Alligator mississippiensis: one gene and its partners. The protein of the gene in region 1 binds, or shares a complex with, the protein of each later gene. Links are inferred from orthologs where the notes say so. Each region holds a gene or a part of one and is shown on either strand. Other genes may lie near its edges.

Evidence for each region.
Region 2: FBXL13 (region 1) and IQCG share a complex: the UniProt entries of both Homo sapiens proteins name them as parts of the nexin-dynein regulatory complex. The link is inferred for Alligator mississippiensis from reciprocal best matches to the Homo sapiens genes FBXL13 and DRC9.
Region 3: FBXL13 (region 1) and GAS8 share a complex: the UniProt entries of both Homo sapiens proteins name them as parts of the nexin-dynein regulatory complex. The link is inferred for Alligator mississippiensis from reciprocal best matches to the Homo sapiens genes FBXL13 and DRC4.
Region 4: FBXL13 (region 1) and DRC1 share a complex: the UniProt entries of both Homo sapiens proteins name them as parts of the nexin-dynein regulatory complex. The link is inferred for Alligator mississippiensis from reciprocal best matches to the Homo sapiens genes FBXL13 and DRC1.

The regions. Positions count from the first base shown.
Region 1 is NC_081827.1:24,344,833-24,352,278, reverse strand, and holds the start of FBXL13 (F-box and leucine-rich repeat protein 13), read left to right. Parts: upstream 1-4,438; 5' UTR 4,439-4,486; coding exon 4,487-4,561; intron 4,562-7,446. Other genes in the region: ARMC10 (armadillo repeat-containing protein 10), read right to left, coding at 430-589. UniProt on the Homo sapiens protein: Substrate-recognition component of the SCF (SKP1-CUL1-F-box protein)-type E3 ubiquitin ligase complex.
Region 2 is NC_081830.1:85,493,334-85,500,651, reverse strand, and holds the start of IQCG (dynein regulatory complex protein 9), read right to left. Parts: upstream 3,016-7,318; 5' UTR 2,949-3,015; coding exon 2,914-2,948; intron 1-2,913. Other genes in the region: RPL35A (large ribosomal subunit protein eL33), read left to right, coding at 3,333-3,343, 7,163-7,315. UniProt on the Homo sapiens protein: Component of the nexin-dynein regulatory complex (N-DRC), a key regulator of ciliary/flagellar motility which maintains the alignment and integrity of the distal axoneme and regulates microtubule sliding in motile axonemes.
Region 3 is NC_081833.1:76,095,961-76,103,898, forward strand, and holds the start of GAS8 (dynein regulatory complex subunit 4), read left to right. Parts: upstream 1-4,932; 5' UTR 4,933-4,987; coding exon 4,988-4,990; intron 4,991-6,052; coding exon 6,053-6,145; intron 6,146-6,250; coding exon 6,251-6,448; intron 6,449-6,562; coding exon 6,563-6,769; intron 6,770-7,734; coding exon 7,735-7,789; intron 7,790-7,938. Other genes in the region: DBNDD1 (dysbindin domain-containing protein 1), read right to left, coding at 118-255, 407-562, 3,201-3,231. UniProt on the Homo sapiens protein: Component of the nexin-dynein regulatory complex (N-DRC), a key regulator of ciliary/flagellar motility which maintains the alignment and integrity of the distal axoneme and regulates microtubule sliding in motile axonemes.
Region 4 is NC_081828.1:76,329,195-76,337,165, reverse strand, and holds the start of DRC1 (dynein regulatory complex protein 1), read right to left. Parts: upstream 3,012-7,971; 5' UTR 2,978-3,011; coding exon 2,829-2,977; intron 2,201-2,828; coding exon 2,113-2,200; intron 1,337-2,112; coding exon 1,224-1,336; intron 1-1,223. Other genes in the region: olfactory receptor 2F1, read right to left, coding at 4,838-5,782. UniProt on the Homo sapiens protein: Component of the nexin-dynein regulatory complex (N-DRC) a key regulator of ciliary/flagellar motility which maintains the alignment and integrity of the distal axoneme and regulates microtubule sliding in motile axonemes.

The DNA of each region.
Region 1 (7,446 bases):
GTCCCCCCCCCCCTTTTATGTTTTTAAACACAAATACATAATAGGGGCCGAGCAGGACCCAAGACAAGGCCCCTTGAGCACATGAAATGGTTAGAAAGGAATCTAGTCACTTTCAAAAAAAGTATATTCAAACCCATTGCCAAGGGTCTTAAAAAACCAGTGGGTTACAGGACAGATGTACAGCAGTACGTATAGAGAGGCAAACAGCTCTTTGCTCGGAGACAGACAAATCGAAGTGACTCCGGATTCAGTCGCTGCGCTGGAGCCTGCGCTCCGGGATCGTCCCGGCAGAGAAGAGGCGCGGAGCTTCCATGCACCAAACGCCGCGTGCCCGGAACCGGAGCTGGGCTGCGGGAAAAGCCTGGAGCCGGAGCGGCGCCCGCCTGCCCGCCCGCCCCTGCCACCCCCCCGGCCCGGGCCGGGCCTCACCCGAGCGCCGCTCGCACGCACCGCCCCGGCCGGAGGTGCCCCTGGGGGCCGCGGCCGCCCCGCCGCTCCTGGCTAGCCGGGCCAGGCCATAGCAGGCGCCGGCTCCGAGCACCAGCGCCGCCAGCCCCGCGCGCCAGCCCAGCGCGCCGCTCTCCCCCATGCGCGGCCGCGGGAGCCGATCGGCCCCGGCCCGGCCCGACCCCGGGACACGTGCGGCGCCGCCGGAAACCGAGCCCGGGCGCCGCCTCCCCGGCCCGCGCGGGAGGGCTTTGCTATTCCGGGGCCTGTGAGCGGCACCAAGGGGCTGTGTTCAAGCAGCCGCTGCCGTGTTAGAGATCCCGTGCGCGGGGCAGCCCCCCGGCCGGCCGCCCTGGGCTCTGAAGTGCTGCAAAGAGCAACCGGGGTCTCCACCAGAGGCAGCTGAACGCCAGCACCGCCCCCGCCGAACGGGGACTCCGTGAAGCCCCCCTGTGCTCCCAGCAAGCTGCGGTGGTCTCAAGTTGCAGCAAGGGAAGCTGGAGCTAGATATTAGGAGAAACTTTCTCACTAGGAGGATAGTAAAACACTGGGACAGGTTATCCAGGCAAGTTGGCCACTCCCCCTCCTTGGAGGTTTTTAAGACCAGGGTGAACAAAGCCTTGGCTGGGATGGTGTAGTTGGGGCTGGTCCTGCTTGGAGCAGGGGTCGGACTAGATGTGACCCCCTGAGGTCTCTTCCTACCCTCATTTTCTATGATTCTGTGACACAAAATAATGGCTATTTTGATAAAAAAAAGATTTTGTGAAAGTAATCAGCTCCTGTCATTCCTTATGCCAGTTCCCTGCCCCTGTTTATCCCTGACATCTGTCAGCAGAGGGAGGTCCTTGCCTGTGCTTACCTTGAATGCACCGGGCTGCAGCCCCTCCACCACCTCCTCACGGCACTCCTCCTGAGGCTTTACCTGCACATCTCTCTGCACCTTTCACGCGCTCCCTGCCTGGGGCCTTCTGGTCAATCTTCTGGCTCCTTCCTGGGCTGGTAGATGGCCAAACTTGCCATCTACCAGCCCAGGAGGAGATTCTGGCCAGGAGGAATCCAAGCACTGGAGCCATTTTCCTGTCACTCTGCACATCTCTGGGCAGAGTTTCACTGACTGGCATCCACAGTCTCCTTGGAATCGTTCAAGGGGCAATGGGCACTGGCAGGAGTTCTTTGCTTGGTGTCTCCACTCAATTCCCTTCATATGAAACTGACCATCCCAGTCACACCCATTCTAATTTTTGTTGTTCCAAGTACTCAATTGTTATGTATCTAGTGGCCTCCCCAACTGAGGGATGCTCATAGCTCTTTTAGCTGGCCTAGGTGCACTGTTCTCTATGTACATAAAAATAGGCCGCTACCTCTGCTTAGCACAAATGCTTCACTATTTTCTGCAGACAAGCTTCTTTGGGCAAAGGTGATATCTTTTATTAGACCAACTAAATCATTGGAAAAATTGTTCTTTACAAGCTTTCGGGCCCAAACCCTCTTCTTTAGGCATAGGGAGAGTCTGCTGTTTGTGTGCTCTCCAGGGTGGAATAGAAGCTTGAGCCAATATGCAGGACTATGAAAATGCAAATCTGTGGTAGCAAAGATCAAAGGGGATGCCAGTTCATAGGTGCAAGACAGGTGGGGAGGGGGAGGGGTGTGTGGAAAGGAGGAATGTTAACTTGGGGACAGAATGTAGCTGATAAAAATGTAGAGAGGTTACCTGGAGTTATCAGATGGCAGGCAGGTTATATATATATGACTTAGTCCATGATTTTTTGTATCCAGTAGATTTATGAAGTGAAGTTCCTAGGCTCATCTATGAAAGGTGTTCTACAAATTCCCTTTGAGGATTAGAACTGAGAAATTGGAGAAAAAGTGGTTGTCTTTTGAGAAAAGTGACCCCACAGGTAACTGGGTATTTCTGTCTTTGATAGATTTTCGGTGTGCGTTGATTCTGGTACACAGTTGTTGTTTGGTCTCTCCTACGTATTTTCATCAGGGCAGTCAGTGCATTGGATGAGATGTTTTATGTTTCTGGAGGTGCAGGGGTAAGATCCAGGAATGGTGATGGTTCTGTTGTGGGGTGTAGTTATTGTGGGAGGGCTGGAGATGCATTGGCAGGTTTTACATTTCTTGTCTAGGCATGGTCTGGATCCATTTGGTGTGCTTTGGGCCATAGACGTTTGCTTCAGGTGATGAGGTTGGTGAGGTTCGATGTCTGTTTAAAGGCTAGGATGGGTGGTTCTGGAAATATCTTTTTAAGAGTTGGGTCTTCTTCTGGTATGGGTTGCAATTGTTAGAGGATTTTCCATATCCCCATCCATGGAAGGATGGTATGCAGGGGCAACATGTAGGGGGTGCATGCGGGTGCATGTGCACCCCCTGTGCATGGTGGTGCACCCCCAGGTGATCCATGATCACCCCTGGCCACTGCCAACACTGCCGGCGGTGCCTGTGGGTGGTCATCAACCCATGGCTGGCACTCGCCACCCCCTTCCCCCCGACAGTGCTGGTGGCATCAGTGGGAGCTCCCTGCTCACCGCCGCCACACTCCCACATCTGCCAGCGCAGCTGTACCCCTTCAGCCACCAGGGGCACACACTGTTCATGTTGGTATGTCATAACTAACGGTGTGTGGCTATATGCAACTATAACCAACACCCCTGAAACATGGAAAATATCACTATTTTTTTACACAAAACCCATGACATCCAACAGCTAACAGGGAGCAAGAAGAGGGAGGAGGTAAACACACTGTTTATTTTACGGATTTCCTCCCCTTCCTCCTGTATTTAATTGTTGTACCCTTACATAAATACCTAGCAAAACAGTGGGCAAGAAAGATGCAAGAGAAGAGAGTTTTAATAAGTGAAGTGGCTAGATGCATGCTTTTAAAGGAATCTAGTTCTTTTGGAAAATATGTATATAAACACACAGTCAAGGGACTTTAAAAAATCTCTTAAGGACACATTTACAATATGCTAAAGATACAGATCGTAAATCTTTCTCTTGACTTATAATCACAGTGACGTGTTAAAGTACTCTGATTTTTTTTCAGGTGGGTTTTACTGATGACATTTTTAAAAGTGTTGGAGAAAGTGGCACGATCTACATCTGTGAACTCTTCATGTGCAGTCCAACCATCTCCTCATTAGGTTGTAAACACTGTGGGACCATCTTTTTGTGTTGCATTTGTACAGTGCCCAGCATAGTCAGGTTCTGGTCAGTCAGCAGGACTCCTAGATGCAAAAATAGATAAATTAAAAAAAATTACAATGAAATCAATATTATATTAATTTCTCAAAGTAGGGCTTATTAATAACAACATCTACTTCCATACGGTAACAGGGCAGGCAACGGTTTGTCACAAGCATATTGCAATCAGATCAAAAACATTCCACGAGCAGTTGCTTGTTTGTTTGTTTTGTGCTTGTCCATTTTGTGAAAAATAAGGAAAATAAATAATTTAAAAAAGTATATAGCATATGAACAAATCAGATCCTACCCCTTTGCATTATGGATGGTGCTTAGCAAGTATTAGTGAATCCTCCCTGTATCCCTATTAGCTTGACAGTCCGTCTCCATTTTACAGATGGGAAAACAGAGACATTAGACTTTATGGCCAGATCCTGAGGAGGTCAACAAATACATCCTCCCGTGAGCAAAGGTCGCCCAAGGTCACAGGAGTCCAGGACGGAGCCCAGAGGAGGCTCCCGCTTTCTTTCCTTCTCAGCGTTTGTGAAAGGCTGCAGCACCCACGTCTCCGGGCACCCAGGCCCCGCCCGCTCCTGCACGTCATCCCTTCTGCCCAGGGGCCACCAGAGATGGGCGGTTTGCCACGCGACTCCGCTGTGCCCGCGGGGCAATCGCCGCCGGCTCCCCTCGCTCAGGGGACGCAGGCGGCGAAGGGAGGGAGCGGCGCGCGCACAGCCCCGGGGGGCGGGGCCCGAGGGACAGGGCGGGGCGGGCGGGGGCTGCAGCGTGCGGCGGGGCGCGTTGCCGGGCAACGGGCGGCCGCGGTGAGGGCCCGGCCCGGCCCGACCCGGCCATGTCGTCCCTGCGCGGCGCCGACCCCGCGCTCCGCGGGTACTTCCAGCGCCACGGGCTGCCCGACGTCTACGAGGTACGGCCCGGCGGGGGTACCCCGCTCCAGGGCGGGGGTGGCCCCGGCCCGGCCCGGCCCGGCCCGGCCCGGCCCCTGTCTCCGCCTCAGCGAGTCCAGGGGCCTCTGCCCGGGCCGGGAGTCCTGCCTTGCTCACACGCAAGCGCTGGCCTGGCCTGGGGCGGCAGAGGCCAACCCCCGAGCATCCCCGCCGGGCCCGGGGTGTCACGCTCACCTGTCTGCGCGGGGGGCGCGAGCAGGAGTCGCCACCTCTCGTACAGTTGCAGCCGCGTATTTAGTAGATGTCCCAGACATTAGGGCCAGAAGGGACTTTGCGACATTGTCGGGCCCAACCCCCCGCCTAAAGGGCGGGAAGTCAGCTGGTGTCACCCCGCTGCCAAATTTTTGGCGAGCGGGATGACAGGATGCTGCCGGCCCGCGCCTCGGACATCCCTGCACTAAGCCCCATTGGTAGTCAAGCTGTGCCCGAGGGTGAGCAGTGCCGGCCCCTATACAACCCTGACTTGAAACTTGCTATAAAACTGCCGTCAACCTGGACACAAGACCTTGCATCCTACCTTGCCTGAAGTAAAGCAGGGGGACCACGGCAGCCAGCATCCTGCTTCTGTCAGGCTGAGTACAGACTTCTGTGGAGGTTAAATCGGGTTCAAAATGGCCACCCGATTTAACCTGGGCTCGTCCCGGTGCCGGCCTGGTGACTGGCAATCAGCGTGAACTGAGACTGCACACAAACCAGTCTAACAACTGCAGAGCCTGGTTTACGATAAGCCTGGATCTACGTAGTATCAAACTTGTTCGATTTAGGTCAAACCAGCGCATGGAACTTGTGTACGCTTTCCCTGCACGGCCCGGGCCTGCGGGCCCCCAGCCCTGGGGCTCCTCTTTTCACACCCCTCCCCCCCTGCACTTGCACTGGGCTATTTTTTGTCCTCCTGGCCCCTTGTTTCCCACCTCACCCACTAGCCATTCCTTTCAACCCCCATCCCACAGCCGCGCCAGGTATAGCTGCTTTTAGCAGTGTTTCCTGCTTTCAGAGCCAAGCAAGTAAGTCTTGGTGTGGGGGGAGGGGATGAAGGGTTGGAGGTGTAGGTTCGCTGGGGGGAATCAGGGGACTAAAAGCCCAATCCCCCTAAATCCCCCTATGAACCCCGCTGGGCAGTAGGGAGGACTGAAATTGGCCGTCAGCGGCGTCTGTGGGCTGTCGCTGCTCACCAACTGCTGCCGGCTTCTGTGGGCAGTTGTTGCTCATCAATCGCTCCCCCTCACCACCACTGCCGCCAGCAGCATCTGCAACTGGTCCCCACTCGATGCTCGCCATCCCCCTTCCGCCGACACTGCCGCTGGCATCTGCGGGCACTCCCTGCTTGCCGCTTGCTGCCGACTACAAATGGTTCCCCCCCAGTTTCAGGAGGCACCAGTCGTTCATGGACCCCACAACCTCCCTGATCTCTCCAGACACTTCCGGACCCTAGCAAAACCCTGTGGCTTGTGCCTGACTGCTCCCTACCCACGAGTCATGCCCTGGCCTCTCACCCCTTGAGGGTTGCACCTGTCCCCTCCACCTCACCTGCAGCTTGTGCCTGCCCCCTCCACCCCTCATGGGTTTCACCTCCCCCCCATTCCCCAGTGGACTCCTGATCCTCCTGAACCCCCGTTGGCCCCCCATCCTGACTTACCCGATATCAGGCAGTCATTTTGAACTGATTTAACTTCCCCGAACGTCTGTACTTAGCCTAAAAGATTGTTACTGGACACTCAAAAGATACCAGGAAGAGGCCCTACCTCCCCTGCCGCCACTAGAGGAAGGTAAAACTTCCCACAGTTGGTACCAAGGTGTCTATGGGTTAAAATTCCTTCCTGACCCCAATTATGGTGATTAACCTGACCCTGAGTACAAAACAGAGAAGATTGCAGCCTCCTTTGTCTTAAATGGTAGAAAAGTTGTTTTTGGAAACTTCAGGTGGAAGACTATAGCGTGCAGGGTAGCAGAGCACTCTCCTCAAGTTGCAGTACTGCATGTTGTAATTGCCATATGGCCAATAATTATATCAAATAATTATAATATCAATAATTATATCAAAGATGACTATGGCAAATTTTAGAATATGCTAGGCCATATGTTGGTCACCCACAGTGTCAAAAGGGGTTTGAAGACTTGTTAAACTGCTGAGCTAGTGAGTAGAATTGCATGCCATAGTGCTAAGGAGCATAGGGGAGACATGGCTTACTTGAAGTCACAAGTGTTCCAGGGATAATAAAATAAATACACACTTTTGGCTTTTGGATTGTTATCTGATCCTCCCATCCTTTCTCTTCTCTCAGCCAGTTTTTTCCTTTTGAAGTTCAGTTGAAACTATGCAGAAGTCGTATATCAGTTTCCTTAATAGTAACAAATTAGGACACTGTGTACAAATAAACTGCCAAAAATAGACCCAACTTGTAGCCAGTTATTGCAGCCTGGATTTCCATGGGAACATTAATAAAGAGGTTTTAAACCAGTAAAAATAACTGTAGAGCAGCACCTCCCTCAACAGTGGTAAAGCATCAGGGGTGCACGTACACCCCCTGGGAGCGCTGGTGCACCCCCTGACTGACTGCGCTCCACACTTAGGCAATGGGCAGGGTGGGCACCGGTGCCCCACCCATGAGCGCTGGCCAGAGAGTGAGCGCACTGGGTGTAGTGCTGCGGTCGCTTCCAGGAGCACCATGGCCGCTTCCCGGTGGATGAGTTCTGCTGCGGGGGGACTGCCCCCACCCCCCAGTCAGCAAGATTGGCCATGCGAGGACCCCTTCCCCCGGTTGCTGACTGGTTGCTGGTGGGGGCACGTGCCCCCCGTGATTAAGGTGACACCAATCTCCCATGTCCCCCAGTCCTCCTAAGCTTT
Region 2 (7,318 bases), on another chromosome or scaffold:
GATAATGGAAATAAGTAGTGATTGATTATAATAATGAATTACAATAACAGATGGTAGCAATAGGGATAGTAATAGTGATCATGATTGCGATAATAGATAACAATAATATTGGAAATAAGTCAAAATTGATTATAATAATTACAATAATGGATGGCAGCAATAAGGATAGTAACAGTGGTCATGATTACGATAATAGATCATTGATAATAATAATACTGGAAATAAGCTGGACTTTAGTATAATAATTACAATACTTGATGGTAGCAATATGGAAAGCAAGCGATCATGATTATAATAGATAATTGTTAATAATATATTGGAAATAAGTTGTAATTGATTGTAATAATTACAATAATGGATGCTAGCAAAAAGGATAGTAACAGTGATCACAATTATGATCATCACTAATAATAACAATATTGGAAATTAGAGCTGTGTGAAACAGAAGCGTTTCGTTTTGATCAGCGTTTCAACGTTTCGACAGAACAGTGTTTCATTTTGACTTTTGTTTCAAGTTGAAACGGCTGTTCCGTTTCATTCTGTCAAAACGTTTTGCCGTTTCAACCCTGTTTCGATGTTTCACCCATAGGATATAATGGGGAAGGTCGAAACAGACTATAACTTTGTCATTTCTGGCCAGATTTGGATGAAACTTGCAGAAATGGTAGCTGCTTCTGAGGGCATGATGCGTGCCAAGTTTCAAGGAGATAGGTGTAGGGGGTTTGGAGAAACTGCACGCCAAAATCTTGAGAGCAAAACGCACGCCACGTGTATGCGTTAAGACACAGTGGGGTCAAAGCTGCAGGGATGCTAGCCCCTGGTGAGGCAGCAAATCCTGCCATGTTTCAAGAAGATCAGTGCAGGGGTTCAGGGGGAACTGCACCCCAAATTCCTGAAAGCAAAACTCATGTCGTGTATGCGTTGAGCCACAGTGGAGTCAAAACTGCCGGATGGTAGCCCTTGGTGAGGCCACAAAGCCTGCCAAGTTTCAAGGTGATAGGTGCAGGGGTTTGGGGAGGGAACTGCACCTCAAGCTGCGGACAAGCAAAACTCGTGACACAGATGACCCTGTGTGTGTTAAGGTGCAGCGGGCTGAAAACTGCAGGGGTCGTGGCCCCTAGTGAGGCCACGAAGCCTGCCAGCTGTCAAGGAGATCGGTGCAGGGGGAGTCTGGCTTCTGGGGCCCTGCACCTCTGACTGCTGACAGGCAAAACTCATGACATGGGTGACCCTGTGTGTGTTAAGGCGCAGCGGGGTGAAAGCTGCAGGGATGATTCCCCATTATACCCTATGGCTGGATCTCCAAAACGGCTCTGAAGCTTTTCCGAACCGCTTCGGAAAGCCTAACGAAGTCAGCGCTCTGCAGCTTCAGCGTGAACTAAAAGATTCGTGTTCACAGAGGGGGTGGTTCAGGTGATCAGTCTGATCAATGAGCTAGATAAGGAGATAAATCTTATCTTCTTCCTGAAACTGGCTAATGGGCAACCATTACAAACATTCAAACTATTTCATTCAATATGACATCCCCAAGGGTGCCCTGGTGAACAGTTGTTCACCGAGCCCTAGATGTACTCCCCTTTGGGCAGAGCGCCCAAAAGGGACTGAAGGCAGGGGACTTAGTCCTATCAGTATTGAGGCCAGCCCATTGAATCGTACTACTGAGGCGAGCCCATTGAACCGTACGACTGAGGCCAACCCATTAAATTGTACTACTGAGGAATGAAACTGTATTTAGGTGTTTGGCTTCTCGGAATTCTAGGATTGTAAGTATATTTTGAAAATAACAGTATTGATTCAAATTTAACTTTTAGTTGTAATTGTAGTTGTTTTTGTAATACTAATTCTTACAGCATTGTTTGGGAAGGAAGTGCATTCGGAGCATTGTTTCTGATATATGTAATTATTGTGTTCTTAATGTTTGTGGTATTTCTAAGCTAAGCAGTGTTATATGCGTCGCAAAGAATTTTAAAATAAAATTGTGTTGTATGAATTAAGTGTGTAATCATTGTAAAATCGTGCCCCAGCCAGTGCATCAAAACGAATCAGTAAATTGTGTGGGATTTTCTCTATTCCATAACCCACTAGAGACAGGGGAAAACTAGGAGCAATGGTCACAAACTCCTGGGAGATCGATTCAGACTCGTTTCAGGCTCAACATTAGGAAAAACTACCTCACAACTAGGGTGTCCCGACTGCGACCATTACTCCTAGCACGGCACAAGGTTTCCCAGTCAGCAGCTGGGGTGCAGTTCCCCCGCACTGGTCTCCTCGACAGCCAGCAGGCGTCGTGTCCGCAGCAGGGGCCACCCTCCCTGCAGCTGTCGCCTGCCGCGGCTTAACACATACACACGACACAAGCTTGGCTCTCAAGAATTTGGGGTGCCGTTTCTCCGAACCCCCCGCACCGATCTTCTGGAAACGTGGCACGCATCACGCCCTCAGAAGGGACTACCACTTGTGCAAGTTTTATCCCAATCTGGCCAGAAACGACAAAGTTATAGGCTGTTTTGACCTTCCCCATTATCTCCTCTGGGCGAAACGGCATCGAAACGGCAACACGTTTCGTTTCCGTTTCGAGGCTGTTTCGACCATATCTGTTCCGTTTCGATTTTGCTGTTTCGACCTCGAAACAACGCCAGTGGTGAAACCAGTGGAAACGGATGGTACTAAGGACAAGACTGGAGGGCAGCAGCCAGGACCGTGGCGGTAATGGCGATGACGACAGCAACTGCCACTAACTGACAGCGTCCGACCAGATGCTAATCATGAATGGCAGCCGTTAGTGGTTGTCATGGACACCGGCATCACTGTCGCGCTGCGGACGACCGCGGCAGTGACACGGTTGCTGACGACAAGCCCCCCCCCGAGGACCCCCCCGCACAAGGAGGCGGCAATCACCACAGCGACACTCACGCGGCGGCGGCCGGCGGCAGCGGCCCGGTCTCCATGGCGACGCCGACGCTCCGGGGTCCTTCTCAGAGGCTGCCCCGGTGCCGCCTGCTCTGCGCGCGGCCCCGTCAGGCGCGACGCGGACGCCTCAGGGGCCCTGCGCGCGGCTATCCCGGCGTGCCGCGCGCCGCGGCCTCCTCTTTCGCCGCCATCTTGGAGCGGAGCGGCAGGGTGAGGGGAGCGCGGCGGCGCGGCGCGGGCCGCGGGCGCGGAGCGAGGGGTGCCGGGGGGCGGCGGGCGAGCCGGGCGGGCCGCGGGCTGCGGGGGGCCGGGGGCGGGGGCCGCGGGATGGCGCCGATGCGCGGCGGATGGTGCGGAGCCGGCTCCGCGGTGCTCACACCACGTCTCTGGTTGCAGGCCGCCGGGACCAGCGCCGCGCCGCCATGTCCGGGAGGTGAGAGCCCTGCCCGAGCCGCGCGGCCCGGAGCCACTCGCGGGGCCCAGGCGGCTGCACCGCGCCGGTTACCGGGGGGGGAACCAACGGGGTGTTCACTGAAATAAGATATTTTGGTTTAAAATTTAATCACTTTTTTATGGCTAAGATGCTTTCATTTGCTATAAAGATCGTTTTCGTTGAAGATCTGTAAAAGCTCCAAAATATCGTGGAATAGGAATTATTATTATTCATAATTATTGTGATATCTAATTATAAACTCCTAGAGATGATGCGGGCACGTCTAAACTCCCAGTGCAGCTCGGGTGACTTTAATCTGTAGACGAGCCTCGAGATTGGGCCTCAGATACAGTCCGCAGCCTGTCCTGACGCATTTCCTGAGCGTGTAAAGATGTCGCACGAGGACACGGGGTGTTTCTGAGTTTTAATAACTTTTGTCTGTAGAGGAGCCCCATAAAATTGGGCCCCGTTATAGTCCCCGGCCTGTCCTGACGTATTTATCAAACCTGTAAAAAGGTTACACGAGTGTTTCTAAAGTCCGGGTGCGATTTCAATAACTTTCAGCTCTGGGAGCTGCGTAAGAGCAACGTAGGATTCACGGATGCGCTTGTCTTTGTTGAGCTGCGTCCTGTTTCGTTCTGCCCGTTTTTCCAACCTGTCCAGATCCGCCTGGATCTGTTTCTTACCCTCTGGTGCGTTCATTTTGCTTCATAATTTGGCTATGAACTTGGACAGGGTGCTCTCCACGCCCTCGTCCCAGTCACCGATGAAGACGTGAACAGCACCGGTGCAAGGACCAAGCCTTGCAGGACCCCGCTGCCCACATCTTTCCAGGTCGATACCGACCCGTCCACCACCACTGTCTGGGTGCGACCCCATAAGCCAATCTGTCACCCACCTGACCGTGCAATTATCTACATCGCTGCCACTCAGTTTATTTACCAGAACAGAACGAGATACCGTATCAAAGGCCTTCCTAAAGTCTAGGTAGATGACATCTACCTCAGCTCCTGCGTCTATGCATTTTGTGACCTGGTCATAAAAAGAAACCAGGTTAATTGGGCAGTGAACCGGTGCTGGTTTCCTTTCAGCATTATTCCCCTGCTGGGCTCCCACAAATGTGGTCCTTAATGTTATTTTTTCCAGAGTTTTCCCAAGGATGGAGGTGAGACGAACTGGCCTAGTTTCCCTGTTCCTCCTTCCTCCCCTTCTTGAAAATAGGGACCACATTGCCCTTTTCCAGTCCTCTGGGACGTGACCGGAGCACCACAAGTGCTCGAACAGCCGTGCCAGCAGCTCTGCCATGACACAGGCCAATTCCCTCATCACCCTTGAGTGAAAATCATCTGGGCCCATTGATTTGAACACATCCAGCCCCTCTAAGTGCCCCTTCACTAAGTCTGCGCTAACAGTAGGTGGTCTGGCGTCCCTCCTGTGTCTGTCTATGATCCAGTGATTGGGCCCATAGTATAGGCCCCAGCCTGTTGTGATGCATTATAAAGCTTCTGCAAAAGTTACATGAATATACAGGTGTTTATAAAGTTCTTGTGCAACTTTAAACTTGAATAACTTTGTCTGTTATAGCAAACTGTAAATAGCAATTGAAACCATAATTAAGTTTTTAGCGTGGTGTAAGCATGTCGTTTTGGGTTGCTTCTGTCGTGCACATCCAAAGTTATTCATGTTTATAAAGTTACACAAGGACTTTATATAAACACCCTGTGTATTTGTGCAACCTTTTTAGAAGTTTTATAAATAGGTCACAACAAGCCGTGGCCTATATTAGGGGCCCAATCTTATGGGGTTCCAAGAGGTTTCTTTATCTATAGATTAGTAAAGATTAAAGAAAACCACTCTACTCAGTGCGACTCAGCGCTCAGTCCAGAAGATCCCATTAAACGTCTCTGTGATGCTTCATTTCAGTTCTCAGACTGTGAATTTGTCTCTCCAGAGTTCACAGGCAGACACGGTTCTTTGGGAAGATGCAATATCTTTTATTAGGAGTGTACCACTAATGGGAATATTTGGTCAATACCAAAGGCCATATCAGCTGATACCGCTCTGAGTGCTGATATGCAGCCTGGCAGCGTCCAGCTGGTAAGTCTGTTGGTGGAGGGGGTGTAATTCAAAGCCCCCATGGTGAGGGAGGGAATGGGACAGGCATTGCCCAGCCAGGGCAGGACACAGGACAGAGCTGTGGGTGGCCCAGCAGAGGATGGGTGGCTCCCTGCTGCTGGTGTGCACCCTCGGGGGAGGCAGGGTGGGCATGTGCTCCCTGGATTTGTGCACAGAGCAAGGGCGGGCTGCCTGCTTTGGGGCTGGGGCCTGTGTTGGCCTCTTGGTGGGAGTGCTGGGCCAGGGCTGCTCTTGAGGTGGGTAGTGGCAGTTCTGGGAGTGGGGGTCTATGGTGAATTTTTGGGGTGGCCATAGTCGTCGTGTCCCCCGTCCCCCCATGCCCAGGAAGAGGCTGGTACAGCCCCTGAGCCCACAACAGGCAGCTCGCCCTCACCCCGTGCACAAATCCAGTGGGGGCCTCATACCCCGCTTTCCTCCCCCAGGGTGTGTGCAGCAGTGGGGAGCTGCCCATCCTCCCATGCCCCCCTGTAGAGCCACCCACAGCTCTGTCCCATGCTTCAACCCAGCTGGGTATCACCTACCCCAGTCTCTCTCTCACTATGGGGGCCTCAATCTGCCCCCCACACAGACTTACCAGCAGGACATTGCTCTCCAAGCTGCGGGGCTGCATTCCTGGCTGTGTGCATGGTGCAGCTGTGCACATGCATGTGGAATTTATCAATGATGTTATTGGCTACACCAGCCAAAAAAAGCTGATTGCCAATAATGTCAATTTTCCTTTTATCGGTGCTGATCCAATACAGACAGATATATCCGCGCGCCACTACTGATTACTCACCCATCAGCCCTGTTGTCTCTCTGCTAGTTCGGGTATGCACAGTCAAGCCCTTACCTCTCCCTAAAAATGGAAAGTTTCAAGAAGTTAAATGAATAAAGGATATCAAACAACAACAGTGCACTTCTTGTAGAAATCAGTGATTAAACTGAGGCTTCCTGGCCAGTGATTTAAATCATTATTTAAATCCATTTGATTTAAATCAGATCTACCCTGTTAGTTACAGATTTAAATCTTGAACAAACTGTCTTGTGAAAATACTGGTGACATTTTAAATCTGTTGTCCAAAAGGATTTACCTTATAATATTACCCATGCTAAGAAAGCTTTATACAATATTTGTTCCGATACAATTAAGCACAGTTCTAGGACTCTTAGCTATTGGTTTCAAGTGTCCTGAATTATGCTGGAGTCCTGCACTGTCCACATGGAACAGGCTTGCATTTCCCCATAGAAACTGCAAAAAATCATTTCAGTACAGCACTTTTTTGTTACATCTCTTATTACAGAGTTGGTTACTGTAGCAAAGATCCAAAATCAATTAATCTGCATTATCATGTATGCAATGAAGTGATAGAATCTATTTTCTAGACATTTGAAATGTGTGTGTATAAAGAACTTTAAAAAAAAGCAAATTGCTTCTTAACGTTATCATCTTTTTAGTGATAATCATTGGAGGAAAAAAGGAGGTTTCTAATGGAGAGAAGTAGAGCTGTTTATAAATGTCTCCTGTTGTGGAAGCTTCCTTATTCACCCCTAATTGCGAATGCTAGTATATTTACTTCCTTGTGAATAAAGCACTATTTCTTGATCCCAGCATGCATGTAGTCCCTTCAGAAATAGCTTATTCAGAAATCCAGGTTGCTTGCTGTTGGTTTTCAGTTCATTAACATACTTGCTGTTTCTTAGACTGTGGTCCAAGGCCATTTTTGCTGGCTATAAGCGAGGCCTTCGAAACCAGAGGGAGCACACGGCCCTTCTGAAAATTGAAGGCGTTTACGCTCGCCAAGAGACTGAATTCTACTTGGGCAAGAGATGCGCGTATGTGTACAAAGCTAAAAAGTA
Region 3 (7,938 bases), on another chromosome or scaffold:
GATGTCTGAGCGGGTGCATGTAAGAGTCTTGTCTGTATGAGTGGACGTGCACTCGTGTGTGTGTGTGTGTGTGTACACATGTGCGGTCAGCCCCACTCCCAGCCCAGGCACGCTCACCACCAGGGGACTCGGCGACGTTCTCGTCGTCGGAGTCGGCAAAGACCTCAGCGAGCTCCTGGTCTGACATGTCCGTCAGCTCGGTCAGGTCCAGCAGGTCGAAGTGCACCTCCAGCGAGGACACGCTGCTCAGCGGCTCTGCGAAGGGTGCCCGGCTCAGATACAGGGCCAGCGTGACCCCCAGCACCCCCCACCCAGGCTCCCACAGCTGGGGGCCGGCACCAGGGCATGCAGGAGCCCCTCTTCCTTTTGGGCGGGGAGGGGCCTGACCGGGGCGTCTCATACTCACGTCTCCTCTCAGCCACCTGCAGCAGGCCCGAGCTGGGGATGGGGATGCCACCCTGCTCCTCGGCCGGGAGTTCCTCGCCTGGCCCAGGGGCTGGCACAGGCACCGGGATGGGGACGGCGGCCACTCGCTCTGGGGCTGGAGCCTCCCTAACAAGTTCTGCAAGAGCAAGCCCTGCTGCGTTAAAGCTGAGGCTGCGTCCGGGGGGCTACGTGGCAGGACCTCCTTGTCCGTCAAGCCCTGGTAGCAGCAGAGCCGGACTCCCCCTGGCTCCTCTGCCCAGGGCTGACCCAGCCCTGCTGAGAAGAGCCCTGAGCTCTGGGCAGGGGGCCTGGGGGAGCTCCCAGCAGCTGCCCCTGCTCCGCTCCAGCCCCAGCGCTTGGAGCAGCTGCCCCCTCCCCATGACAGCTTCTACCCTGGCCCCTTGTCACCCGCAGCGCCCTCCGTGAAAGCCAGGGATGCTCCAGGGCGAGGGTCCTGGTCACAGCTGCCGGCAGTGGGGCCGAGGCAGGCAGGGACCGTCTGTCTGCACCGGGGGCTGGGACTGGTGGGGCTCTGTAGCAGGCGGGGGAGCGAGCCCCCAGGCTGAGAGCAGCAGTGTCACCGAGGGACCCCTGGGGCAGGCCCAGGTGTGGCAGACAGGCCGGTGGGGGGATGCAGACGGGTACCAGGGCCCAGTGCTCATGGTGGGGACCCTGAGGCCACCGTGCCAGCCGCCAGCCATCCCCGCTGCTGGGCCTTTGTCCCCGCAGACAAAAGCGGAGCCTGTGCTGGGAGGCCGGGGACAAGGGGCGGCTTGTCTACGAGCATGGGAGATCGGGGGGCGCTGGGGCCAAGCCGGCTACGGCGTTGATGCTGCCCCCCACTCCCAGCCCCGCACACGGCTGCATGGGGCAGGGGGTCTCGCCGTGTGGCCGCAAAGGGGTGTGTGCAGTTGTGCACAGCCGGCGTGGCTCGGGAGGGGGAGGGGAGCGGAATATTTTTAGCAGCCCAGACGATGAATAATTCACAGCCCGGCTGCCGTTGCGGGCAGCTCCACGCGCAGCCGCCGGCGGCAGCGCAGACCCAACACCGGGGGCGGTTGGGTGCTCCCTGGCAGCGTGGCCTGGCCCGCGGGCCGCGGCCCTTGGCTCTCCAGGGGCATGCAGGGGAGCCAGTCCCGCCAGGTGCCAGCCTGGGCCTCTCCAGCACTGGCACCGTCGGGGTCTCAAGGGTCCAGCATCCTGGGCACGGACAAGGGCTGTAAGGCTGGGTTGTTACAGCTCCCTAAGGCATCTTTCAGCGTTCACGGTTTTATTCATGGGAAATCCTGATCCAGTTCTGGCTGCCGGCGCCTGGGAGCTTGGGGTCGGGGCCAGGCCGGCGCCAACACTGGACTCCTCATGTTTCTTTAACTCAAACACCTGAGCCGGAGAAAAACTGTCCGGGCAGCAAGCTCCCCACCTCTCCCGCGGGGGCCGCCCGATCCCTCCTGCTCTGCCACAGCCCCTGGCACCCCTGGGTGAGACGGGCTGGGCTGGGTCAGGCTCATGCCCACCAAGGCAACCTTTCAGGCCTTCCCTGACCATCTGCTCGCATGCTCTGTCCTGTTCTCTCGGGGCAGGACAGCAGTCCCCCAGGAGCAGCTGCCGGCCTGAGTGTGCCAGGAGGGCGATGGGGCACATGGGCAGGCCAGGAAATCCCGCTAGAGGCAAGGGGGAGCCTGGGGCAGGCACAGTGCAGTGGGTGCAGGGCAAGGAGAGGATTGACCCCCTCACTGGTGGCAGGGGGTCAAGTCTGGCTCCTGCTGGCTGGGATGCAGCCCCCTCCCCAGTCACTGGCTCAGAGCTCCTGGCAGGGGTGGGAGATGCGGACTTGGGGAGCAGACCTGGGAGCAAACGCTGCTGTGAGAGCCACAGCCATGGGGCCCCCTTCCCGCCGCCCGCTGTGCCCCAGCCCCTTGTGGCACAGTGTCCCCTGCTCTCCTGCCCCGGCCGGAGGAGCGGGGCGGGGATCTCTGCTGTCTCCTCTTTGCTGACTCACGTTCACCTGCAGTCGAGGGCAGAGGAGGGACCTGCGGTGGGACCGGACCGCCCGCCCCGCTGCCCACGCCCTTGCCTGGCTCTGCTGGGCCCCACTCCCCTACAGCCCCTCCTTGGCACCACGGCACGCCTGGGGGCCCCAACCCAGCAACACGCCCCTGCACCAGTGCAAGCAGCCTCCGGCCCAGGATGCGCCCCCCCCCCCCCACACACACAGCAGGGGGGCACCTGCCCACAGCACCCACCCCTGCCCTGCCCACAGGCACCCCCACCATGATGCCCCACACTGCCCCAGCTTGTAACCCACAGCCCGGGGGGACACCCTCCCCCCAGCATGCCCGCCTGCCTGCACACACCCCCCAGGGTGTTCTGCTCACACACCCACCACCAGGATACCCCCTGCTCACACACACCTCTGCACCCCTGTGTAACACCCCCCTCCACACACGTATCTGCACCCCTGTGCAACACACACACACACACACACACCAGGACAGTGCAACGCCACGTCCACACCCCACACGCATGCACGCAGAAGACCACACACACACGTCCACACCCCCTCGGGTGCCCCCTGATCACACCCCCCCGCACGCCCCCTGCCCCCGGATCCCCCTCTACACCCCGCACACCCAGCCAGCCCCTGGGACACCTCCGCACCCCGCCCCCGGCCGCCCCCCATACACGGGCCGGGCGCGGTGCGGTGCGGTGCGGTGCGGTGCGGGCAGCCCGGGGACGCCGCAACTTTCCTTGCTGGGGGGCGGCCCCGCACTCACCTGGGGGAGCGGCCCCGCCGCGCGGCTCCATGCGGCCGGGTGCGGGACCGGGCTGCGCTCCGCGCTCAGCAGCCCGCAGCGGCCCGCCCCGCCCCGCCCGGCCGGGGCCCCGGAGCGCGCAGCCCCGCATCGCCCGGCCAGCCCCGCCTCGCCAATGGGGGGGGTGCGGGCGGGCGGGGCGCGGGGCGGGCTGTGGGGAGGAGACAGGCGCCCGCCCCCCGCCCCGCATGCATGCCTCCTGCCCCCCCGCATGCATGTACCCCGCCCACCCCGCATGCATGCACCCTGCCCCCCGCCCCGCAAGCATACACCCCGGCCCCGCATGCATGCACCCCCGGGCACCGGTGCGGGCTGGGGGTTCCCTGCAAACAAAGCCGGCAGCCCAGCCAGACCCGGCGCGGGTGGTCCTAAGCCGGCCCCGCGCCCCCAGCCTCCTCGGGAGCCCGGGGTCCTCGGCGGGGTGGTGGGGGGAGGTAGGCCACCTGCTCCCCTCCCTTCCCCAGAGGCCCGATCCCCGGAGAGAAGGGCTCTGCCCGGCCGTGCTGGCACCAGGCAGTGAAGGGGTTAAGCCCCCCCTTGGGGTGCGGTCTCCAGGCCAAGGTCAAGGTGCTGGAGGATGGAGGCTGCAGGTGCTCCAGATGCAGGTGCCATGACAACAGGGCGCCATGGAAACGCCCAGCTCCCAGGGGACCCCAGCTCGGCGCTGCAGCTGCCAGGCTGCTCCCCAGCCATGCCAGGGCAGGAGTCCCTGGGAGCCTGCTTGCACCTGCCTGTGCGGGGCTCGGGGCCCAGATGGGGCGCCTTCTCAGGGGCCGGGGGCATGGCACACGGGGGCAGCACCGGGCAAAGGGGCATTTGCTGCTGACTGCAGCATGGGCATCAGGGCACTGCCGTGCTGCATCCGGGTGTGCAGCCCAGATGTGGGCTGTGGTTACCCTGAGCTCGGTGCTGGGCCCTGCAGGGCGTGAGACCAGCGCTCCTCTAGCAACCAGTCTGCATTTGTGCCCGCTGCCCTGGTGCGGAGCAGGCTGCGGGAGTCCAGCCGCCCCGCCAGCCCTGGGGCAGCGTCCCAAAGCCCATGCAACGCTGTCAGGGCAGCCTGGGCCGCCTCGCACAGGGCAGGAGGGCAGCCTAGGGCCCTGCATCGCAGGCGAAGCACGGGCTCCAGGGCCCCTGGATGTTACTGACTGGGCCCTTGCCCACCCCGCAGAGCTCCAGGCTGCTCCTTGCCCCTAGGGCCCTGACTGCCATCGCGGTGCAAGTGTCGGGCCTCTGGCAGGGCCTCAGCAGCGCCGGGGAGAGGCTGCAAGCTGAGCCCGGCCTGCGCTCCGCTCCGCTCCGCTCCTGGGGCTACGGGCAGCCTGATCCGGCCCAGGCGGCTCCTGCTGCTCCCTGCTCGGCTGCCCCGGCTGCCCTCTGCCCCCAGCTCCGTGCCCAGCGTCCTCTCTGCCCCGTGCTGGGGAGCCCAGCCAGCCACGTCCCTGCACCCCCAGCTCCCTCGGGCCTGTGTCCTGAGCTGGGGGGCCCATCCAGCCACACCCCTGCACCCTTACACCCCTACGGCCCGTGCCCCGTGCCAGGGGGCCCCATCCAGCCACATCCCTGCACCCCGAGACCTGGGGCGCTGCCCGGGCTCGGGCGGCGGGGCGGGGCGCGGGCGGCTGGTTGCTAGGGCGGTTGCCAGGCCCCGGCGGCGGTTGCCAGGGCCGCGCGCGGGTTGCTAGGGGCCCGCGGCTCTCTCTCGCGAGGCCGCCGCGGCGGTTGTCGGGACCGGGGGGGCCGCAGCTATGGTAGGGCCCGGCCCGGCCCGGCCGGCGGGCATGCAGCTCCGGGGCGCGGGCAGCCTGGCTGCAGGGGCCCCGGGGGCGGCTGAGTGTAGGGGGCTCCCGGCTGCGGGGAGCCTGCTGGGAGCGGGGGGCCTGGGTGCAGGCTGCGGGGCTTCTGGGGGGGCTCCCGGGTGCAGGCTGGTTGCAGGGGGCCTGGGTGCAGGGGAGGGGGGGCTCCTAGCTGGAGGTAGGAGGGCTTCTGGGGGAGGGGGCTTCCAGGTGCAAGCAGGGGGGTCTCCTGGGTGCAACAGGGCTGGGTGCAAGCTGGGGGTGGGGGGTTTCTGCGGGGCCTCCCGAATGCAAGCTGGGGGGTCTCCTGGGTGCAATCTGGGGGGCCCCTGGGTGCAAGCTGGGGGTGGGGGGTTTCTGCGGGGCCTCCCAGGTGCAAGCTGGGGGGTCTCCTGGGTGCAACGGGGCTGGGTACAAGCTGGGGGTGGGGAGTTTCTGCGGGGCCTCCCGAGTGCAAGCTGGGGGGGTCTCCTGGGTGCAACAGGGCTGGGTGCAAGCTGGGGGTGGGGGGTTTCTGCGGGGCCTCCCGAGTGCAAGCTGGGGGGTCTCCTAGGTGCAATCTGGGGGGCCCCTGGGTGCAAGCTGGGGGTGGGGGGTTTCTGCGGGGCCTCCCAGGTGCAAGCTGGGGGGTCTCCTGGGTGCAACGGGGCTGGGTGCAAGCTGGGGGTGGGGGGTTTCTGCGGGGCCTCCCGAGTGCAAGCTGGGGGGCCCCTGGGTGCTGGGTCAGGCTCGTCCCTGTCCCCAGGGCTGTGTGCTGGGCACAGCTCCAATACAACGGGGCTGCAGCTGCAGCAACATCCCCCCCAACCCTAACCCTAATACCCGCTGGCCCCTGGGACCGCGCAGGGCGGGGAGAGGCAGTCGGGGCCCCTCAGCTCTGCCCAGCAAAGGACCCCCGGCAGGGAGACACCCGCCGACATCTGCAGTCAGGACCCACCCCCCATCTACCGACTCGCAGAGACTTGAGCGCTGCTGCCTCCCCCGTGCACGCGGCTCAGCCCTGCGCGTTGTTCCCAGGCGCCCAAAAAGAAAGGCGGCAAGAAGGGCAAGGGGGGGAAGGCGGCGGCCGTGGTGGACGGCATGGCGCCCGAGGACATGAGCAAGGAGCAGGTGAGCTCCCTCCCCGCGTGCCCCGGGCCAGCCGGCAGCAAAGGGTGCTGACGAGCCTGGATACCGCTGCCCCCCCTGATGCCTCTTCCTGCCTGGGCCCCGCAGCTGGAGGAGCACATTGTGCGGCTGCGGGAGGAGCTGGACCGCGAGCGCGAGGAGCGCAACTACTTCCAGCTGGAGCGCGACAAGATCCACACCTTCTGGGACATCACGCGGCGGCAGCTGGATGAGAAGAAGGCCGAGCTGCGCAACAAGGACCGCGAGATGGAGGAGGCCGAGGAGCGGCACCAGGTGGAGATCAAGGTGAGTGGGACCTGGGGTGGGTGTTAGGGCTGCAGCGCCCGCTTGACTTGGGCATGTCCCCAGGTGCCCCCTGCTCCCAGCCTGTCCGGGGACTGACCCACCCGCCGCCCCCAGGTGTACAAGCAGAAGGTGAAGCACCTGCTGTACGAGCACCAGAACAACCTGACGGAGCTGCGGACCGAGGGCACTGTGTCCATGAAGCTGGCGCAGAAGGACCACCGGGCCCAGGAGCTGGAGCTGCGCCGGGACATGCGCTCCCTGAAGGTGGAGCTGAAGGAGCAGGAGCTGGCCAACGAGGTGGTGGTGAAAGGCCTGCGCATGGTATGTGGTGCCTAGCGGGGTGGGGAGAGGCCGAGCTCTGGGCTGCACGGTGTGGGGTGGATACCAGGATACCAACGATTAGCCCAGCCAAGGCTTTGTCTACCCAGCTCTTATAAACCTCCAAGGATGGAGAGTCCATCACCTCTCTGGGTACCCCGTTCCAGTGTTTTACTACCCTCCTAGTGAGAGTTTCCCTTAATATCCAACCTCAACTTCCCTTGCTGCAGCTGGAGCCCATTGCTCCTTGTCCTGTATCTGCCCCCACTGAGACCAGCCCAGCTCTGTCCTCTTTGCAGCCCCCCTGCAGGGAGGTGAAGGCTGCTATGAAGTCTTCCCTCCGTCTTCTCTTCTCCAGACTAAATCAGCCCAGTTCCCTCAGCCTCTCCTCACCAGTCCTGTCCCCCAGCCCCACAGCTATTTTCATTGCCCTCCACTGAACCCTCTCCAATTTGTCCACATCCTTTCTGTAGTGGGGGGCCCAAAACTGGCCCCTTCTTCATTCTGGGGCAGATGCGGTGGGTTTACCACTGCAGAGTCAGGTTCCAGGAACAGGCTGATGCATCAGCAGCCCCCTGTGCCAGCTCATGCAGCATGGGGAATCCAGCCCTTGCCACTGATGCTGAGGGGTGTAGAGGCAGCTGGCACGACCAGGGCCTGGCAGGTCCCATGCTCGCAGTCCCAGGGCTGCTCTGGGATGCAGGTGCACTGAGGCTGAACTGTTGAGGCCATGCCAGGCGAGAGCTGGAGACCTCCAGTCCCTGGTGGAAAGCAATAGGGCTGTGCAGCATCTAAGGAGGGAGCATCGGGCGTGGGGGACAGGGGGCATTGGGCAGGCACTGGGTGCCATGTATCCCAGGCACCCGCAAATGGTGCCTCCAGGGGAGGAGGGTGTGGGGGCTGCCTGGGGCAGCCAAGCTCCCTCTGTGCCCAGGGGCCTGATCTGACGTGCCACCTGCCCCCGGCAGAAGCAGGAGGAAGAGATCACACGCCTGCGCTGTGACTTCGAGAGACAAGTGAAAGGTCAGGCGGGCACAGCCCGTGCCCCTCACACTCGGCGCACAGCCCCTGGCTGGCTGCAGGCCCTTCCCCTCCCTCCCCTCCCTCCCAGCTGTAGGGCTGAGACCTGCTTGGTGCTGCCTCCCTGCCAGGAGCAGCTGGAGGGTGGGGGG
Region 4 (7,971 bases), on another chromosome or scaffold:
AGTGTAGCACTGCCGAGCCTATAGACATGCTGCAGGTTTTTCCTCCCAAGGTGGAGAACCTTGCATTTTTCAGTGTTAAACACCATCAGGTTCTCGTCCACTCATTTACTGAGCCTGTCAAGGTCAGCCTGGATTACCCCCGTCCTCAGGTGTGCATGCTTTACCCCAAAGTTTGGTATCATTGGCGAACTTGGCCAGTCCGCTTCTGACTCCAATGTCCACATCATTAATGAAGAGGTTGAACAAAATAGGTCCAAGGACAGAGCCTTGAGGGACCCCACCGGTCACAGGGTACCATGACGATTGACTTCCATCAACCACCACCCTCTGGGTCTGACCATAGAGTCAATTCCCTAGCCAGCGGATCATGGTAGACCCGAGGCTGCAGTTGGCCAGTTTTGCCAAAAGGTGATCATGGGATACCAGATCAAAGGCTTTTTTAAAGTCGAGATATATGACATCAATCTCGTCCCCCTTGTCCAGGTGATAGGTCACCTGGTCATAAAAGGAAATGATACTGGTCAAGCACGACCTACCCGCAACAAACCCGTGCTGGCTGTCCCTCAGGGTGTTGCCATCGGCCAGTCCATTAAAAATGGCCTCCTTGATGATTTTTTCTAAGACCTTCCCCAGGATAGAGGTCAGGCTGATGGGCCTTGTAGTTTGCCGGATCCATTTTCCTCACTTTTTTGAAGATAGGCACTACACTGGCTTCCTTCCAATCATCGGGCACTTCACCAGCGCGCCAGAAGCTCTTGAAGATCTGTGCCAGAGGCTGAGCTATGATGCTAGCCAGCTCCTTGAGTACTCTGGGGTGTAAATTGTCAGGGCCGGCTGACCTGAAGGTATCCAGCCTCTCAAGCTGTTCCTTCACAAGGTCAGCATTGATGGTCATTCCACTAATCAGAATAACCTATTCTATGGCAATTTTGCTATCTACTAAGGCTTCCTATTTCACAGCTCCTGCAGCTTTTCCCCCCATGCCCCACACTAGGGATGCTCATTTTAATTTTCACCAGCCGGCCAGGACCAGCCTCCAAAATCTGGGACTGTCCCAGGCAAACCGGGGTCATTCTACTTTTAGGTCAATTAAGGGCATTTTTCCAATGCCTGGGAGTCTCCAACATAGTTCCCACTGATCAGAGACCGGGTTGCCTTGCTCTGAGATGTCCGTGTCAGGGAATGCCAAAGCCAACACCTGTCATACCTACACAAACTCTCACCTCTGCCGCTTCAGCTCAGCCTCCTCAGTCCTCCTCTGTGTCTCCCTGGCATCGGCAGCCACCTGGATGTTCGTTACTAGCTGCATGCCATCAAGGAGCAGCTTTGCCAGCCTCTGCAAGGACAGGAAAGGGACGTAACAACCATGAGGCCAAATGGACTGAATTACATGCTTTGGAAGGCTCCATGGCCAGCACTTCCACATCTGCCTGCCCTACAGGCTGGTTCCTATGCTTATATTGAGGTGCTTAAATAAAAGTATGAATCTGGGATGTCACCTGGCAGGGATTCACACACCCAACCATAGTTTATCATCATGGCATCACACTGGTTTATTTTCAGGAAAAGACTGAACACACCCAAACCACATGCAGCTCTTGCAGTACAGCTCCACTCTCAGCTCTCTCTTGCAGGCTCTAGCTTCACCATTCCTTTGCTGTGAGGTCAGGACACAGCGTGGTCTGATCTGTACTTGAAAGCTCAAGATATTGCATGTTGGCTCCCTGTTTGCACAGCTGGAAACAGGAGGAAGTCAAGGAAGTTCAGGAAGTCAAGTAGGTTAGAAAATATCAGATGTTTTAGAACAGAAGTCAGCAATCTATAGCCTTCAGGGAAGATCCAGACTGCAAAGAGGCTTGGTCTGGCCCACGGATATCTTCTGTAGCACAGAAGCTTGTTACAATGAAATTCCCTATAAAGTATTTCAAGAATCAGTCTCTGGTGGTCATAGCAAGTACCTGTGTGCAACCGTGCTCCTTCAGAACATATCCACTGGCTGACCCTGAGCTGTCAGGCTATGTTAACAGGACTGCAAAGCCACATGTACATGGAGCAATGGTCCTTAATGGACTTGTCAACCCCATTTCCCTGGCCGCAAAGCCTACTCCTAACCTGTCTGCTCTCTTCAATCTGCTTATGGCTCCTGCTCTGCTCCTCTTCTTCAGCCTTCTTTGCATCTGGGTCTTCTCCCAGGGCCTCCCTGGTGGGGGGTAGAGACATAAGCTTTAATAACACATCATCTCCTTGTCCCTGCCAGATCTCTTATTGAGTCACCTTGCCTCCTGTAAGCCCATGAATCCACAAGATTGAAACATCTCAGTATGTGGGTGGGAGACCAACCCAAAGGGGGTCTTGGGGGGGGGGGGGTTACAGAATACACTCGTGTCTGGTTGGAGTCTCCAACCAAGGCAGCCCGCGTGGATTGTTCTGCGGACGGCTCCCCAGCTTGTCCGCAGCGACACCTGCTCCTTCGACCCCATGCAGGAAAGAAGGTTGGTCTTGTGCAGGCCGGTCTGCTGGGACACCCGCGCTGCCTGTTTTCAGGACTGCTGATCTGAAAGACTGTCAGCACTCTCACAACACTCCCACCCCTGGGCCAAGGCCCGCCCAGCCTGGACCACTGCCATCCAGCATGGACTGGGGCCCCTTTGCCTTCTGGCACTGGGTCTTGGGGGCCCAAGGCAGTAGAGGGGGGGAGGGGGCAGCGCAGTCGGGGAGCCCTGGCATCAGCCCCCCGCCCATGGCACTGGCGGGTGCTGCGGCGGGAGGGGCCAGGTCTCGGCGGGGGGGGCGGGGCTCGTTCCCCGGATGGTGCCCCCCGCCCGCACCGGCGCTTGGCCTCCTGCCGGGCCGCGATGCGGAGGCGCCGTGCCGCGACCCGCTCCTCGGCATCCCCGGCACCCACGGACGGGGCGCGCCTCGACGGCTTCGCGACCTGCTGCGGCTCAGCCTCGGCCGATGCCTCGGCCCGGCTCATGGCCGCCGCCCTGCGCGCCCGTTGCCAGGCAACCGCGGCGCTGCGCAACGGCGCACGCGCAGGACCCGGCGCGCGGGGTAGTGGGTGTCCGAACAGCCCCGCCCCCGCCCCGCGCCTCCTGCTGGGTTGCCGCGGCCTCTTCCTCCCGCCTCCCGAGGACACCTCGGGAACCCGGCTCTGAGATCTGTGGATCCAGCCTCCGCGTGCCCCGACCTCCTGCCCTTGCCCCTGCTGTGGCCACCATGCCCCTGCCCCGCTCCCCACAGCTGCCTGGGACATGTAGCCCCGCACCCCGCTGTGATTCTTGCTGCCTCTCCACGTGGAGCATGACGCCTTTTTCATTCGCCCCTCGTGTCACTTCTGTGCACGCGCCCTTGCTGGGGATCTTCGGGCCACGAGGGCAGAGAGACCCTGTAGGTGTGTCGATGCTGTTTCACCCAAGTAGGAAACTAGACTCAGACATGCTCTAGGCCCTGCTCAGGCCATATTCTCCTTCCGTCCTCCCCTCTCTTCCCTTTTCTCTCCCCACACATTGCCTGGGGTCCCAGGGGCCTCCGCACTGTTCTTATGCCATCAGGGCCTTCCCTAGGGGGGGCAAATCTTGGTGACCGCCCTGGGCGATATGGAGCCAAGCTGGCTTTGCATCCGGCCCCCCTCCCACCACTACCGCCTCCAGGCCCTGCACCCACAGTTGTCTCTGCATGCCATCCATCTCCCTTTCATCCAACAGACCCTGCTCCTGAAAGCCCCTTGTCCTGTTCTCTCTGTTGTCCGCTGTCTCCTCCTCCAGCCCCTGGCCCTTTGCTGGTGACACAAAAGGGAGCAGCGGCTGTGGAGCTGGGAAAAATGCATAAACCCAGATTCTGCGTCATCTGCACCCAGTGCCAGGGCAGGGTGCAGGGGATGCAAAGGGAGCACCCGCCTCAGTGCAGAGCCCGGGGGACAGGGGATTCACCCATGCAGCACTGAGTTGGCACCTAGCTCCCAGCCGTGCTCCCTGCAGCTGGCATTCATCAGGGAAGGGGTTTTCAACCTTTTTTAGTCTAAGTACCCACGGTGGCCGGATGCCAAGTAGGGGGACAGGAGGGGGGCAGCGCACGGCCGAACACCAGAGGGTAGAGGGGGAGTACGCAGCTGGACACGGAGCATGGAGGTGGGGACACTGTGTAGGCGGGCAGGGACAGAGTACCACCACCACCCCCCAGGAGCAGGGCCAGGGCAGGGCGGGGAAGCTCATTAGGCTGGGGTGAGGGCGGTGGTGCCCCTCTGCAGTGTGGGGAAGCTCACCAGGCTGGTGTGTAGCAGTGGTGGCCAACACATGCGAGCTTCCCCACCCCACAGAGGGACATCACTGTCCTCACTCCTGGGAGGCGGCGGTGCTCCGTCCCCAGCCACCCATGCATACCCCCTAGGACCGGTCTAAGTACCCCCAGGGGTACGCATACCCCCAGTTGACAATCCCTGGGTTAGAGCACGCAACTGAGGAAATGGGTGACCAGATCTGTTAGAAAATATGAAAAGCCATATAATTACCTGCAGTAAATAAAAGGAGACCAAGACAGGTGAGGAGGGTTTTGTAAAAGGATAATATATATTCTGGTGTGTTTCTCAGAGTTTACAAAAAGAGCTTGTAGAGAAGCAACACTTAATTGCAATATAATGATATTTTACACTTTTCCTTTCAATTCTATGGACACTCAGTTTAGTTCTGGACAGACAGTTCCACAATTGCATCTGTGTGTAAATGGGCCTATTTATTAATGATAATCATTCTCCAGTGTCATATTCCATGAATGTCATCTTCCCTTTGTCTTCCTTGATGACTATAGAGGAAAAATATCTAGAAGGAGACAGAAATATCTATCTTTTTTCAGAAGACAGCCCACTTCCCATGGCTTTGGCTAGGGCCTCCTTCACTTCCTTATTCCTTAGGCTGTATATGACAGGATTCAGCATGGGAGTGACCACAGCATAGAATAATGAAAACATCTTGTCTTGATTGGGTGACACACTGGCCCGGGGCCTCATGTAGGCAAAGATGGCTGTCCCATAGCACAGCATCACAACAGTGATGTGGGAGGTACAAGTGGAGAAGGTCTTGTACCTGCCCTCTGAGGAGCAAATACGCAGGATGGATGAAATGATGTAGATGTAGGACAGGATGATGAAGGAGCAGGGGATGATGAGGATCAGGACACTGGCCATCATGAGAATGATCTCGTTAACATAGGTGTTAGAGCAGGCTATCTTGATGAGTGCCACAGCTTCACAGGCAAAGTGGTTGATGATATTGAAGCCACAGAAGGGCAGCCGCATGGTAAAGGTGGTTTGCACCAAGGAGTTGAGAAAGCCACTGGCCCATGAAGCCACTGCCAGCTGGATACAAACCCTCCTGCTCATGGTGACAGTGTAATGGAGGGGGTTGCAAATGGCCACATAGCGATCATATGCCATAACAGCCAGGAGGATAAACTCAATGCTCCCTAGTGACAGGGAGACATAGAGTTGGGCTGTGCACCTGCTGAAAGAGATGGCTTTGTGCTGGGCCAGGAAGTGGACCAGCATCTGGGGGACCACACTGGATGTGTAGCAGATATCCAAGAAGGACAGGTTTCCAAGGAAGAAGTACATGGGAGTATCAAGACATGGGTCTATCCGGATGGTAACAATGATAACAATGTTTCCCACAAGAGTGATGACATACATACCTAAAAGGAGTGCAAAAAGCCAGAGCTGAGTGCCCCGATGGCTGGAGAGGCCCAGGATGATAAACTCAGTCACAGAAGTTTGGTTTTCTGACTCCATCTTATTGGTATGGTTTAACCTGTGAGTGCAGGGATATGGTCAATGATGTCATGGTTTTGAATAAACTGTCATAAGCTACTGAACTAGGACCATGAGAACAGACCCAAACCCTGTCAATGTCAGACTCTCATGTGGGAGCAGACTTTTCTTTGTCCAGTAAAAAATGATGATTCAATGACATTGAAACAAGTTACAAATTCATGTTCGCTTCTCAGAATTAAAAAAAATATTTACTATTGTATTTTTAAATTCAAAACATTGTTTTTATTTTCAAATTTCATTCAGCTTTACCTGAAAAAAAATAATGAAGAATGCACTTGAAACTAAAATATAGTTTTTCAGGGGATCAATGAAACATCTCACTTAATCTGTATATAATTTATTCCAGTGTTATGATTCAGCAATATATAATATTTTAACGTAATACATTTTTTTACTAGTGTGTGGAATTGTATTCACATACCTCTATTATTGATTTAATCTAAAAAATGATATACAGAAGTCAATAAGACTCAGAAAATGATCATTGAGGGTGTGTCTACACGAGATGCTTAACTGTGCAGTAGCATAATTTACTGTGAAGTAAGCAAGCATGTGCATGTTTACTATGTAGTAAACCTCCCTAATACGGAGTAAATTTGCTACCTGCAAATGCAAGTCACAAATTTACTCAAGATTAGTAACAGCATAGTAGCATTCATGTAGACACCTGACTGGGAGCAAATGTACTCCCAGCCAGCTGTCCACCAGGGGGTGGCAGATTGCTCCCTGACCCCAGATGCTGCCTACTGCTGGGGCAGGCTCTGCCATAGGAGCCTGGGAGGGGACTATGCTATGCCCTCATTACCTGGCAGCAGGGTGCTCCAAGCCCTCCTGCTCCAAGGTGGTGATCAGGAAGCAGGGGCCTAGAAGAACTTTATCTCCCAGTGCCAACTACGCAACCATGGGGCTGGTGTTGGGAGATCTCCAATGCAGAGCTGGTGCTGGGAGCTCCCTGCTGGTGGGGGCTGGGAAGGCTGTTTGCTGCCCTGCTCCACGCTCACGGAGCTAGGCATGGAACAAGCCCCCCAGCCTGGTCCCCAGCTCCATACTCACACAGCTGGGCAGTGAACAAACTCCCCAGCCTCTGCCCAGTGTGCAGAGCAGGAGCTGGGAACTGTCCTGGTCAGGGGCAGGTCCCAGCCCCATGCCCCAACTGGGTGCACAGGGCTTGGAATTTGTTGCAGGGATGGGTTAGGTCCCAGCCCCCTGCCCCCATCTTGGGGCAGCTAGTAGCAAGCTAGCTGCTAGCTGCCCCACTGGTGGATCAAGGCAGGGGGCTGGGACCTAACCCTCCCCTGCAGCTCTTTCCAAGTCCCCTGCCCCTGATCAGGGAGCCAGGGCCAGGAGCTGCCTGCTGGTGAGGCAGGGGGATATTGTTCCTACTCCAGAAGTCTGCAGCCCCCTCCAGGGGCAGGGTGTAATGGAGGGTGTAACATCCCAATCCAGGCCAAGGCTGGGTGCTCCCTCGCAGTCCTGGGTGCTCCCTCTCCTGGCTGGGTGCTCCCTTGCAGTCCTTGCACCAGCACCCAGGGAGAGCTGAGAGCTCTCCTGGTGACGGCAATGGCTTATTGCAGGGCTGCATCAAATTTGGTCCTAAAAGCAGCAAACCTGCTGCCTAGTCCTGCCCCAGAGCATTTCATGTGAAGACATTTACTCCTGACTAAACTGAGCCCAGATCAAATGCATGTGTAAATGTGCCCTGAGTGAAATTTAAGGTTGTATGTTAGATATTATTGGGCATGTCTACATATGGTCATTTAATGCAGATTAGGCCAATTTAAGCTGCATTAGGGGTGCATGTCTACATGTGTGTGCCTTTAATGCTATGTGAGCCTAAATTTGATACCTGCCCAAACCAAGTATCAAATTTAAGCAGGATTAGTTAATGCAGATTAACACATTTGTAGACATGTTACTCCACATTAACACAGGGAATTTAGTCTTGGTCTGCACAGCCACTCAGGGGCGGGTCGGAGCCCAACCCCAGGGCTCCTGGCTGGAGGCACCTCCTCCCCCAGGGCTGGCTGCTCTCTACATAGTTTGCCACTTGTATGTGGTTTTGTTATTGTTGGTAGGTGGTGGAGGGGCACAGCTTGTTATTATTTATAGAGCTACACAAATGAAAACAACTAAAAACTAGCTTTGCA